Linked DNA regions of Arabidopsis thaliana. The protein of the gene in region 2 binds, or shares a complex with, the protein of the main gene of each other region. Each region holds a gene or a part of one and is shown on either strand. Other genes may lie near its edges.

Region 1 (6,090 bases), on a different chromosome or scaffold from region 2:
ACTTCCTTACCTTCAGCACATTGTGTCAGAGACTTTACGGCTTTATCCGGTGGCTCCAATGCTTTTACCCCACTTAGCATCAGAAGATTGTATAGTTGATGGCTATGACGTTCCACGCGGCACAATCATCTTGGTGAATGCATGGGCCATCCATAGAGATCCAAAGTTATGGGAAGAGCCAGAAAAATTTAAGCCGGAGAGGTTTGAGAAAAAAGGAGAGGATAAAAAGTTGATGCCATTTGGGATTGGACGACGATCTTGCCCTGGTTCAGGGCTAGCTCAACGGCTAGTGACTTTGGCTCTTGGATCATTGGTCCAATGTTTTGAGTGGGAGAGGGTTGAAGAAAAGTATCTAGACATGAGAGAAAGTGAAAAAGGAACCACAATGCGAAAAGCTACATCGTTGCAAGCTATGTGTAAAGCTCGTCCCATTGTCCATAAGGTTTTAGATGCTTCTTGTCCATAACTTTCATCATACAGAACCTCTTGTATAACAATTTCGATAGAAACACGATCTGTTTTGTTGCTTCTTAGCTATGGCCTTACCAGAGTACTCTATATTTTGAGGTAAAGACAGGCTCTTCTTTTCTAGGAAGTAACACAAGATCTTTAAGGTCAAAGAGAAAAATCTGGTTAACTCCAAACAACTAAAGGTCCAACGTTTACTACATGCCATAACTTAGTATTGTAGGTAAATGAGATACTAGTAGAGAATGTTGGAGAATCAAAGTTTAGTTACTATCGGAATCGTTTCCTGAGTCCACATTCATCGGCTGAGGGTTCTTGTAATCACTGATCTCATCCTTGTATCGCTGCTTGTCGACTTGAGCCTTGGCTTCATATGGCTCTTTATCATCAGCTATACATACACACGGTTGGGGAATTAAAACACATTCACATGATAAAGTAAAACCAAGTAATGTATTTACTTTTGAAAAGGATCTTCAAATTTTTTACCAGACATTTGACGCCACTTATCTCCAAGCACCTTTCCCACCTCTCCAAATGCTATTCCTGGGTGTTCCTTCTTTATGTTCTGTTCAGTTCACAAATGGAAAATGACATAATCAGGAATGTGCTAAGTTTGTCTGTTAATTGTTTGCTCTCATGTATGTAATAGACCGAGGATACTCCATTTCGCAACTTAGCCTACATCATAGAGGTAAAAGTAAAAGAAAGGAGAGAAGAACTCACATCTCTTTCCATTTGGGAAAAGAACATGAAACCAGACATTGCTCTTTTTGGTGCGTTGGGATCCTTCTTCTTCTTCGGCTTCTTCCTCTTACTACTGCCTTCGTCTGCGGCTACAGTTTTCCTCTTAGGAGGCAATCCTTTCGATGACGAAGCCTCTTTCTTAGGTTCCTTCTTGATAGATTTCTATAACAAGTCAATGACAGGAAGATATGAGAAACAAATACTGCTGCTGAAAGAGTTCGAATGAATGCGACAAAAGTTTACCTCTTTTATCTCTCCTACACCGCCTTCACTAGCATCAGAGTCGTCCCCGCCAGAATCATCAGTTGGTGAACCACCATCATCATCCTCACCCATAACAAAGTCTTCGTCCTTCATAAATTAAAAGTCTCGATTATCAAACACATGATCATTAGAATATGAAGTAATTCGGTCAGACATAAAGTACTTGCCTCCTCATCACTCTCATCAGCAGCTTGGTTTCTGATACGCGTAAGATGAGGGTCAACAGCATCATCATCATCATTATCCCCAAGAACAGCAGCAACACCGTCTGCGGTACCCGCACCTCCAAGGTTCATAATCTTCAAACCCTTAGAGCTGCAGCAAGAAAACATAAGGAATATTCACCACAAATCTTAAATGCACTCAGTAAATATAGACGGAGACAATGAAATAATCCGCGCTAACCTTATGAAGGTATAGAGATTGTGATACTCATTTCTTTGAATGTTACGGAACAGATGTTCATGGTCAGTTTTCAGTCTTATGAGAAGATCAAAGTAATGCATGTTAGCACCACCAGCAGCATGCCTTTCAAACTCGACATAGTCAATCTAAAAACGAAAAAAAAACAGGTTAGAAAACCCAACTCTATCTCAAAGCCTATAAAAAATCTCCAATCCTTAATAACCATAATTTACCTCATCGTGAAGTATAAGCGTTGGAGGTTTAGGTAAGAAGAAAAATCCCTTCTCGAGTGGATAAAGAACCCCATCTTCTGCCTTGAGAGACGATTTCACTGCAAACCCATCTTGGGAACTGCGGAACTTCCCAGGTTTAGTGATCTTTGCACCAGACAGCCAACGCAACACGGTGGTGAATACTTCATGAATGAGACCCTGAAAATTCATACAATTCAGCGTATGTATAAATTTTTTTATTCAGGAACAATAATGTAAGTGCAGACCAGACAGAAACCTTATATGATCGCTCCAGCTTGTCCTTGAACTTTGTATTCATAAGTTCATCACTAATTGACAGTTCACTTTCGACAACGGTGTCTGTTTCAAACTGGAGAAGATGCAAAAACAGTTATGTAAATCAGAGTAAAAAAACGAAAATTATACATAGAAAATTGAAATGGAAGGAAAAATGTAAGTAATGTTTACCTGCATAACAATGTGGGGGTACATTGTCTGACCTTTCCGGATTGGTGGGTCTAGAGAGATAACAACAAACGTGTGTGGTTGGTTTGACTGCTCAGGCATATAAAAAAAAATACGAACTCAATTAATGTGAACACGATTCAGTGATCATAATACGATAATCCCTTTAATCTGATGACTGCTAACATAGGTAACTGCCCTGAGATATGCTTAAAAAAGAATTACCTTTGGAAGCAAGAACAAACGGACAACGCTACTGTACTGGATTTTAAAGTCATTAGCTTGTCCTTGCAATCGTAAGAAAGAAAGGTGAAGTTCCACATTGTACCGACCCCTGTGATAGAAACAACCAAATCATTTAGTCATGACAAGATGAAGCCATACAATAGTGCAACAAATGTTTAAGTAATCAACTCTTTACCTGGGTGTGAGGATTGCAATACTCTCAAATGTGACGACCGCATCCTCAACTCCAGGACTAACATCAGCCATTGCAACGATTGTGTCATTGAAAACCTGAGACATTCTTTTAGCATCAACAGAAAAAAATATATACTTGAGGCACATACATATAATGAAAATAGTTTGGGAACTCACTTGAGAAGGTGGACGGTTTTCATCACCAACAAACTGAGTGTTGGAATTAGGAATATGAAAACTAATCTCCATCAGCGAGTCTTTCTGTAAACACGTAGAATATAAATCAGTAAATGTACATACATAACAGCCTAGAGATTACATATCAAAAGAAACCAGTACCTCATTAGCACCAGCAGTATCATCAACATGAAACTCCAAAGTAACATCATTTTTCCCTTGAAGCTGAGTCTGTGAAACATCAGCTAAAGATACTTCAAAAGCTTGTTTTGATCCAACCAAAAAGGTTAGTGTATTCCCTACACAAAGAAACAAAAAATTCTCCCTTTAGATCCACAAATGAAACTAGACAACCACAAGTAAAGCCTAAAAGCTATAAGAACTCTCACCGTGTAAATCCACCTCTCCCCAATTACGACCACTAACTGATAATTGCTTCTCATCCGGTGTTTTTCCATAAGAACTTTGGAAAAAGCTAGACAGACTTGGAACATCCTACAAAACAAAGGAATCAGAACAAGCACAAACATTACAATATCAAATCAAATAAAAAAGATATACACACACAAACCTGATCTCGAAATCCAACGAACTTGTAGTACAATCCATCTTTGGTTTTGACTCCCAATTGATTACTCTTTGTCACTTTCGTCCAACTAACACTTACAATATCAGATCTATCAACTTCCACAGCTTTTCCACCACCTTGTTTCTTCCATTGAATTCCTCCAGAATTGATTTTAAGTAAACCCGGGTTCTAAAAAACCAAAATTGAAACCCTAATTAGCCTTAAGAAAACCCTAAAAACTACCGCAGCTTTAACAATTGTAAACAAGAAAACAACACAACTGAAAAATGAAAGCGACAATCTTTTTTTTAACCCTAAATTTGACTCATTGAGTTCTTTAAGAATCGAGCGGCGGAAGCAAAAGGGGATACAGAGAAAGGAGATTAGGGTTTTCGAAGGAAGAGGAAAAGGTGAAAACTTTGAAGGAATTGAAAGATCTTGAGAGATAGAAGGAGACAGAGAGAGAAGATGGTACCTTTCCACCGCGACCGCTGAGAGAGATATTATTGAAGGAGTGGCCGTCCGCCATGGTTTTCTGTTGAGAGACACGAGAGAGACGAGAAAGCGAGAGCGAAAGAGAGAGAGTGATTTTTTTTTTTCCAAACTATGATATCAACTTTTATACATAGACACTCAGGCGGTTTAATTTTGGGAAGAAAACCAATTTTCGAAAATTAGATTTTCCGGTTTAATTGAATTTTTGAGTTTTTGGTTTTGCAGATTTGGGAAAAAGACCTTTATCAAAAAACGGTAAAAACAGAAGGTTGTTTTGAGTTTTGGATTTTTTCACATTTGGAAAAGAAACCTCTTATAAAACAGAATTTTATATCAATTATGTAGGCATGCGGGTTCGGTTTACCAAACCGGTTACTTCGGTTTTGTTTGGCTTTGGTTAGGAGGGGAAAACCGGTCTAAGGGTATGGAGAAGTGATTATTGAAGGAGACAATAGGAATGTGATGGAGCTATTCAAAATAAATAGACAACCAAACAGAGGATCCGAGCATTGTCTCTATTGTTCAACATTACCAAATGGAAACAAGCTCATAATAGTAGTACATGTTGTATTAACCTCAAAAACCAAACTATCAAAGTCTTTTTATCCAATGTAATGACTATAAATTACCCTGCATTGCTAGAATTCTTCAGAACTGTTTTCGTTTGTTCCTAAAGAGTCTATCTCTTTTCGAGAACACGTAACCAACAGCCATTAACCCGAATCCCGACACTGAAACAGTTCCCCATGGGAACGGTGGATCTTTGAAACAGTTGAGACTCGCTTCTACCCGTTGTGACGCGAGGTACACTACTGAATGCACTGAGTACAAGTCGTGTGAAGCTGATCTTAAGTAGAACAAAGCCATCTCGAACTCATTGTGTGATAGAGCAGAAACCGTTTTATCCAGCTTGTACTGCATAAGATTCCACCTTTGCATGAACTCAGAGTGGCGATTCTGTTTCCGTAGGATCACATCTCCTCCATATGCAACCGCGGAATCGATAACATCGATTGCACTTGTGATAGTTGTGTTCAAAGATGTCAAAATCACGTTTCTCTTAGCAGCATCTTTCTGAACAAACGATAGAGACGAGATATCAGAGAATGGTCCAAACGGTGTTTGCCCAATGCTCCATGTATAATCAACTAGAGTTGTGTTATGTCTCGGGCTCCATGTCAAATGAGTAGAAGATACACCCCACATACTCTGCAGAATGGAACCAACGAGAGGTCGTTCTAAGTCTCTCGTATGAACAAACACATGACGCCCGTTGCAAGTATAATCACTAACCGTTTGAGTTCCTCTAGTTCTAACAGCAATCACCATATCTCTAAAAGCAACAGACTGATGATACCGATCAAGCAACAAAGGCGTATTGATATCCAAATCAAACACATAAACAGGTAAAACCCTAGCAAACTCATTTCCTTCTTCTTCAACAATCCCCGCAACTCTCCTCAACTCCTCAGCCGAATCAGTCAACGCCCGATGCATATGCTTAGAATCCAAATACTCACTCACAATCAAAGTATAGTTATCAAACAAAAACCTAGAAGTATACGAATTCATCCCACGAGATACCGCAAACGAACAAATCGAACATTCTCTATAATTCACACTATAACTCTTAAAACTCAACTTCTGTTCACCTAACAACAACCCACCACTCTCAGCTTCATCCATAAACGTTCTCTTCACAAACTCCAAATCTAACCCACTCGAATCCTTAACCTCTGACCCATACACATGAATAAACTGAACCACCAACGTATCCTCAAAGTACACAGGGATTCTCAAAGAAGGAACAATCAAAACCTGATAAGCATTATACACCAACGAAGCCAA
Region 2 (7,627 bases):
GCTGTGTTACCGTCTTGATCACGTTTGTTCAAAAACTGCATCTCTAACGATTCAGCGTCTGTTTGACGAAGTCTTTGTACCCATCCCAAGAGTACTTCAAGCTCTTCGTATCTATCGTTTGAAACCGCGATGTGTAGAGCGGTTTCACCGTTCACGTTTGCATCTTTAATGCAACCAGGACAAGCTAAGAGGAACTCTGTCATAAGATCAGTTTCTCCTCTTCTTACTACTTGATGAAACGGCGTCATACCTTGTATTCGAAATCAAACTATTTCAACCATTTATAGTAATAACAAAAGATCAAACAATTTCAAGAAAACAATACACAACTTGGTTGGTCTAATAAACTAGCTATATGATGTCATAGTAGTAGAAAATGAAAAATATATTACCTTCTCTTCCTCGAAGGCGAACAAGGTCAGAATCAACCTTGAGTAAACTTAGAACCAACCGTGTTTGACCTTCCTCTATAGCAAGATGCAATGGACTTAACCCGTATGTGTTAAGTTTTCTCGCGAAAGACGGCTTAAGATTCATCAGCTCCATGGCAAAAGAAAGGTTACCAGAAGCAGAAGCTATATGGAGAGGAGTGTTGATGAAAGGTATTGCATCAATGATTTCAAGAATGTATGGATTCTCATGGATATGAGCATACAATTCATCGATGCTTCCGATTTGAGTAGCTACGATCAATCTTGGATCCATTATATCAAGAACAAGAAGAAACAAGTCTTTGTTTTTCTTCAAGAAATAAAAACTTTACATTTACTTATAGAATATAATGTCATCGTTTGAACAAGTATTTGATGTTGACTTGACCAATCATTTGTTTAAGCCAATAGAAGACAAACACTAGATGAACTCAGAGAAAGAGACTACAAAAAAAAAGTCTTCTCTAGGGATACTACAAATTTAAGTAGAACTTGATACATTAATTTAAGAGAATATAAATCCTACCAACCCAACACATTGTGAAAATCAGAATTCACAACATGAGAGTAATCATATCACTAAAACGTCGTCGTTTGATCATATCAAAATAATCAGCAAAGATATAAATGATAAGAAAGTCGAGAATTCGACATGTTCCAATACGACACAAGCAAAGTCATTGGCATGCTGGAGCCATTGGAGTAGTCGCCGGTATAATGACAACAAGAGAAAATGATGAAAGCTCCCATAATTTCTGATGCTTTGCCAAAGAGAACAAGGTAAATAAAGATTCCAAAAACCATGTACGTAGCTAGCTTTGAGAGCTTATTGTTTCTCTACTAACGTGTAACATTCTTTGAACATTGTAGAGCATTGGAGATCTAAGTTTGAGCAAGATATTGGCTGGAAAGACAAGGAAATTAGCTGCTCGAATGTTTTCGACATTGGTAATTGTTCCTCAATAGGGATTGTTCCTTTATTTTTCTATCTCTGCATTGCCTCTTAGCTGAAATGTGTTGTTTTTTGAATTACAGGTATTGAAACAGGATCAACCATATGGCGATATCGCTCTGAAACAGTGTTAGGCATTAAGCGTACATTGATCTAGCTTCAAACAATTCTAAACCGCATATAAGATAAATCATTATATACTAATTTTTTTTTTGGTAAGAGTATATACTTAGATATATAGTATAAAACAAACATAAAATGTAATGATTCATCATTTATTTAATAACATAGCATTTTTTCTTTTTTTGAGAAATCACTTCCCAATTAAGTGATTTTGCAAATAAAAAAAGTGATAATCATTTACTTCATTAACTTTATAATATGGTTATGTACCTCATCATTATATACTGTAAACTACATTTACAAAGATAATTTTGTAGTTATAGCCAAAGGTCAAAAGTTGAAAACTCTCTCTCTCAAATCTTAAAACTAAAGCACAAATTTGAGATCACATATCCATGCATGTATAATGTATTGTCACACTAAAAATCGGTTTAATTTCTCTTGAGTTTTAAACCAATCGAGTTGTAAACAAGTTTCGGTCTAATTTCGAGATAAACTTGGTTTGGTCTTCTGGTTCAATTAGCTCGGTTGCTGTTTATTTTTTATCATTCATATATAACAAAATCGACAACGATATAGTAAATGGGCCACCGGCAAAACAAAAATATAGTACATGGGCCTTTATTAGTCACTATGTTAAGCCCAATACAAATCGGTGTTTAACAGTAAGCGAAGCCCACCATCATCAGAATAAAAGTATGTTCCACTCTCAGGAAATGCCTTGGTAGAAAAACCATTCTTTGGTAACTTTCGCTTACTCTCTCCCCATTCTCTCTCGAAGAGAGCCTCGCCGGAGTTTGTTTTTCTTCTTGTTTCGCGGCCAAAACCGCCTTTGTGTAAAGCTACCTTGTTATTTTCCTCCGTTAACCATCTGGGTAAACTCTTCGCTTGATTTTTCTGTTCTTCCCCCTTTTTCGATTTCTCACTGTTTTTAATCTACGATTCAACTTGTTTAAATCTCGTTTTCGTGTTCTTCGATTTGATTCTTCGTTTAAAATCATGTTCTTAACTCGATCCATTTTGATTTCGCTGCGTTAGACAAGTAATTGATTTTTGTTTTTTCTTGTTCTTCCATTTCTAGGGTTTCGCCGTGCGAAGCTTCCGTTCGCGTCTTTGCTTTAATTTTGAGATTTTATTGATTCTATTTCGAAGTGGTTTTTTTTTTCCTTACCCTAATTTTTCTTTCTGGGTCTGAAATTTGGTGTAATTTACTGCAAATTTTGACCTATTTTGAAGGCTATGAAACCCTAGATTTCAATTTGGATTCGTTAAGTTTATATCTCTCGACATTGTTTCACGTTTTTGATATATATAGAGTCTAATGTTTTGCGATATTAGTTCTCATTTTCACGTTTTTGTTGCCAATACCTATATGTATATGATTATGTCCTGCGCATTTGGAGATTGACGTTGTTTAAAAACTGTTGAACTTTATTTGGCATTCACGAGATAAGGTTTTGTTGGTCTTTTCAATTTTTGATAAAAAGATTAGTCTTTTGTTTTTTTCCTGATTAGTGAAAGCTTTAGGCTTGTGAATCTCTCTCTGTCTCGTTTATGTAAAACTTTCTTGTTTCTGAGTATTATTTTACTTTTTCTTCGCAGTATAGGTTGCTGCTGGACTCTTTAGATGGCAGACTCTCGGAATGGTAATGCCCGAGCCCCTCCTAGTGGAGTGCCTCCAAAAGCTGGGAATACTTATTCCATAGATGTTAAAAACTTTATCTCACGTGCAAGAGCATTGTATGAACACTGGAAGAAGCACAGTGCAGACTTATGGGGATCTGCCGACGCTCTTGCCATTGCTACCCCTCCTGCTTCTGATGATCTGCGTTACCTGAAATCTTCAGCGTTGAATATTTGGCTTCTTGGGTATGAGTTTCCAGATACAATTATGGTTTTTACCAAGAAGCAGATCCATTTCCTGTGTAGTAGGAACAAGGCTTCTCTACTTGAAGTTGTGAAAAAACCTGCACATGATGAGTTGAAGCTTGATGTTATCATGCATGTTAAGCCTAAGGGTGATGATGGAACAGGGCTGATGGATGCCATATTTCGTGCCATCCGTGATCTATCCCGGGGTGATGGAAATGATTCACAAGTTGTTGGACACATTGCTCGTGAAGCCCCTGAAGGTAAGCTTCTGGAGACATGGACTGAGAGGCTAAAGAATGCAAACTTCCAGTTCGTAGATATAACTGGGGGGCTGTCTGATCTATTTGCTGTTAAAGACGATACTGAGGTCATGAGTGTGAAGAAAGCTGCGTATCTAGCCTACAGTGTGATGAAAAATGTTGTTGTTCCAAATCTTGAGAGTGCCATTGATGAGGAGAAAGACGTCACCCACTCTGCCCTGATGGATCTCACTGAGAAAGCGATACTTGAGCCAACTAAGGCCAGTGTGAAACTGAAGCCAGAGAATGTTGACATATGCTACCCTCCGATATTTCAAAGCGGAGGCAAGTTTGATCTCAAACCAAGTGCTGCAAGCAATGATGAACTGCTCACTTATGATCCAGCGAGTATCATAATATGTGCTGTTGGTGCTAGGTATAATAGTTATTGCTCAAATGTTGCCAGGACCTACCTAATAGATGCAACTTCTCTCCAGAGCAAGGCATATGAGGTTCTTCTCAAGGCACATGAGGCTGCTATTGATGCTTTGAGGTCAGGAAGAAAGATAAACACTGTCTATCAAGCTGCCCTTTCTGTTGTTGAAAAGAATGCCCCTGAGTTCGTTGACAAGCTAACTAAATCTGCTGGGACTGGTATCGGTCTGGAATTCCGAGAGTCAGGATTAAATATAAATGCAAAGAATGATAAAGTATTGAGACCGAAGATGGCATTTAATGTGTCTCTTGGTTTCCAGAACTTGGAATGTGAGTCAGAAAGCCGCAGCAAGAACAAGAAATTCTCACTTTTGCTAGCTGACACAGTTCTCGTCACAGATCAGAAACCGGAGCTTTTAACCAAGTGCTCTAAATCTGTTAAGGATGTGGCTTACTCCTTTAAAGAGGATGAAGAAGAAGAGAAACCGCGCAAGAAAGCTAGGACCAGTGGTTCTGAGAACTACATTACCAAGACAGCTCTTAGATCAGATGATCATGTGGTGTCTAAAGAAGAGCTACGGAAGCAGCACCAGGCAGAGCTGGCACGCCAGAAAAATGAAGAAACTGCCAGAAGGCTTGCTGGTGACAGTTCTGGGGCGGGAGACAGCCGGTCTACTGCAAAGACTTCAGCTGATGTGGTTGCCTACAAGAATGTTAACGACATGCCCCATAAGGAATTGATGATCCAGGTTGATACGAGAAACGAGGCTGTATTGTTACCCATCTATGGGAGCTTGGTTCCATTCCATGTGGCTACAATAAGAACAGTGTCAGGCAATCAAGATACCAACCGAAACTGCTACATCCGTATCATTTTCAATGTCCCGGGTACACCCTTCAACCCTCATGACTCAAACTCTTTGAAAAACCAGGGTGCTATCTACCTCAAGGAGGTTTCATTCCGGACCAAGGATTCAAGGCATAGCAGCGAAGTAACTCAACAGATTAAGACCCTTAGACGGCAAGTCATGGCCAGGGAGTCAGAGAGAGCTGAAAGGGCGACATTGGTGACCCAAGAGAAACTTCAGCTTGCAGGGAACAAGTTCAAACCCCTCAGGTTGTCCGAGCTGTGGATCCGTCCGCCTTTTAGTGGGCGCAAGAAGATTCCTGGGACACTCGAAGCTCATGCAAATGGTTTCAGGTATTCAACTACCAGGCCTGACGAGCGCGTGGATGTCCTGTTTGCAAACATAAAGCATGCGTTTTTCCAGCCTGCTGAGAAGGAGATGATCACCCTCCTTCATTTTCATTTGCACAACCACATCATGGTAGGAACTAAGAAGACAAAGGACGTTCAATTCTATGTGGAGGTAATGGATGTTGTGCAGTCTTTAGGTGGTGGGAGGAGATCAGCCTATGATCCAGATGAGATTGACGAAGAACAGAGGGAGCGCGATAGGAAGAACAAGATCAACATGGATTTCAATCATTTTGCAAACCGGGTGAATGATATGTGGCAACTACCACAGTTTGCAAGTCTGGACCTTGAGTTTGATCAACCTCTGAGAGAGCTTGGTTTCCATGGTGTTCCGCACAAGACATCTGCATTCATAATACCGACCTCCAGCTGCTTAGTTGAGCTGATAGAATACCCGTTCCTCGTGGTGAGTCTGAGTGAGATTGAGATTGTGAATCTTGAGAGAGTTGGGTTTGGGCAGAAGAACTTTGACATGGCCATCATCTTCAAGGACTTCAAAAAAGATGTTCTCAGGGTTGACTCAGTTCCCACAAGCTCCCTAGAGGGGATAAAGGAGTGGCTAGACACCACAGATATAAAGTACTACGAGAGCAAACTGAATCTGAACTGGAGACAGATCCTAAAGACGATCACAGATGATCCGCAGAGCTTTATAGATGATGGAGGATGGGAGTTTCTGAACCTGGACGGAAGCGATTCAGAATCTGGCGGGTCTGAGGAGTCAGACAAAGGATATGAACCATCAGATGTAGAGGTTGAGTCTGAGTCAGAGGACGAGGCTTCAGAGAGTGAGTCACTGGTGGAGTCAGACGATGATGAAGAAGAGGACTCAGAGCAAGAGTCAGAGGAAGAGAAAGGTAAGACTTGGGATGAACTGGAGAGAGAAGCTACTAATGCAGACAGAGAGCATGGAGTTGAGTCTGATAGCGAGGAAGAGAGGAAGAGAAGAAAGATGAAAGCGTTTGGGAAATCGCGACCTGGAACTAGCGGTGGAGGTGGTAGTAGCAGCATGAAGAACATGCCACCATCTAAACGCAAGCACAGGTGAAGAAACTCAAAAAGTTCGAATTCTGCTTATCATTGTTCTCATTAGAGATGAAACGAAAGTCAGACATTTACTTTCGCAGGTTTAAAATTAGTTTTTTTCCCTTGGTTTGTTGGCAAACAAAAACTAGCGTTTTGTTATCGGTTTTTTTATCAGTCCTTTGTATCATATGAAAACTACTTAAGATAATTTTATCAATTATATGCCCTAGGAAAATAATGTCCCATTGTGGTGTTAGGTTGGTTCTCATTAGTCTTAAAGAAAAATCACACAACTTGTCGTTTTGACTTGGATAAAAAAAAAATTGGCAGAAAATACCATATTAATCTTAAAATCTTTCAAATTTTTGTAATTATAACAATCACTCTTTTTACATCAACTGGTAGTAATTTAGCTACATACTTGATTTAGCAAGAAGAACTCTTCCAGAGCTCTTGTAGCTCTCTAGCAAACTCCTCTGATCTTCGGACCACTAAAGTAAATTAAGTAATGTGATCTTTGTTCTGAACAACCTTAACTCGGTCGTGCCCCAGGAATCCGACGTTGAACGTGGTAGCTGCACTAAACAGGAACGACCTCATCGTCATCTTTTCTCTCATGGAAGATGACCACAATAGTTACACTTGAGTTTATATCTTGTATATGTCCATATATGAGATACCCAATACATTGCTCCCTTGGCTTAGCCGTCCATGCACACTGTCAAAATTTAGCAAATCTTAGATAGAAATGTCACTAAAAGTGTACAATTCAATTGTTTATTAATCGGTCATGCTCATGTCTCATGCAACACGTCTTCTTTCTTTGGTCTCTTACTAATCAAACTTATTTAATTGAATAGAATGTGATGAAATATTGCCAATACCACATCATGGTGTGTATCATGGTTATGATCGGGCTGGACAGGATTTCGAACTTTGGTCCCTAAATGACGTCTTTAACAGTTTTATCAACAAAAAAATTAGGTCATGATTTTTGCTTCTATTAGAATATTATTTCAAAAAATATAACTCTTTTACAGTCTTTCTTTTGTTTTCCGTATAAAGCGAAATGAATGATCGGATAACAAAACTTATCTTGAGAGTTAATTATCTTTTCTTTCTCTCTAGCTCTCAATAGTCAATACCCTCATACTAACTAGTAATAACGATATATAAAATCGAGAAATTATATTTTAGATATTCATCTCAATTTTTTGAACCACCTCAACGTTAACCAATTCATTTCAAGTTTGTTCCGGCATACCACTCATTGTTTAACTTGTTCCAATTC

What was found. Proteins that work in one complex are often made in the same cells at the same time.
Region 1: SPT16 (region 2) and HMG share a complex: the UniProt entries of both Arabidopsis thaliana proteins name them as parts of the FACT complex.

What each region holds. Positions count from the first base shown.
Region 1 is NC_003074.8:10,783,140-10,789,229, reverse strand, and holds HMG (high mobility group), read right to left. Parts: upstream 4,343-6,090; 5' UTR 4,277-4,342; coding exon 4,223-4,276; intron 3,937-4,222; coding exon 3,751-3,936; intron 3,675-3,750; coding exon 3,569-3,674; intron 3,479-3,568; coding exon 3,342-3,478; intron 3,264-3,341; coding exon 3,180-3,263; intron 3,099-3,179; coding exon 3,004-3,098; intron 2,917-3,003; coding exon 2,808-2,916; intron 2,673-2,807; coding exon 2,586-2,672; intron 2,488-2,585; coding exon 2,395-2,487; intron 2,316-2,394; coding exon 2,118-2,315; intron 2,031-2,117; coding exon 1,885-2,030; intron 1,795-1,884; coding exon 1,647-1,794; intron 1,567-1,646; coding exon 1,459-1,566; intron 1,378-1,458; coding exon 1,195-1,377; intron 1,037-1,194; coding exon 958-1,036; intron 860-957; coding exon 732-859; 3' UTR 501-731; downstream 1-500. Other genes in the region: CYP81D11 (Cytochrome P450 superfamily protein), read left to right, coding at 1-466; AT3G28720 (uncharacterized protein), read right to left, coding at 4,891-6,090. UniProt on the Arabidopsis thaliana protein: Component of the FACT complex, a general chromatin factor that acts to reorganize nucleosomes. The FACT complex is involved in multiple processes that require DNA as a template such as mRNA elongation, DNA replication and DNA repair.
Region 2 is NC_003075.7:6,600,957-6,608,583, reverse strand, and holds SPT16 (global transcription factor C), read left to right. Parts: upstream 1-2,226; 5' UTR 2,227-2,381; intron 2,382-2,587; exon of another isoform or gene 2,588-3,108; 5' UTR 3,109-3,133; coding exon 3,134-6,358; 3' UTR 6,359-6,681; downstream 6,682-7,627. Other genes in the region: AT4G10720 (Ankyrin repeat family protein), read right to left, coding at 1-250, 393-705. UniProt on the Arabidopsis thaliana protein: Component of the FACT complex, a general chromatin factor that acts to reorganize nucleosomes. The FACT complex is involved in multiple processes that require DNA as a template such as mRNA elongation, DNA replication and DNA repair.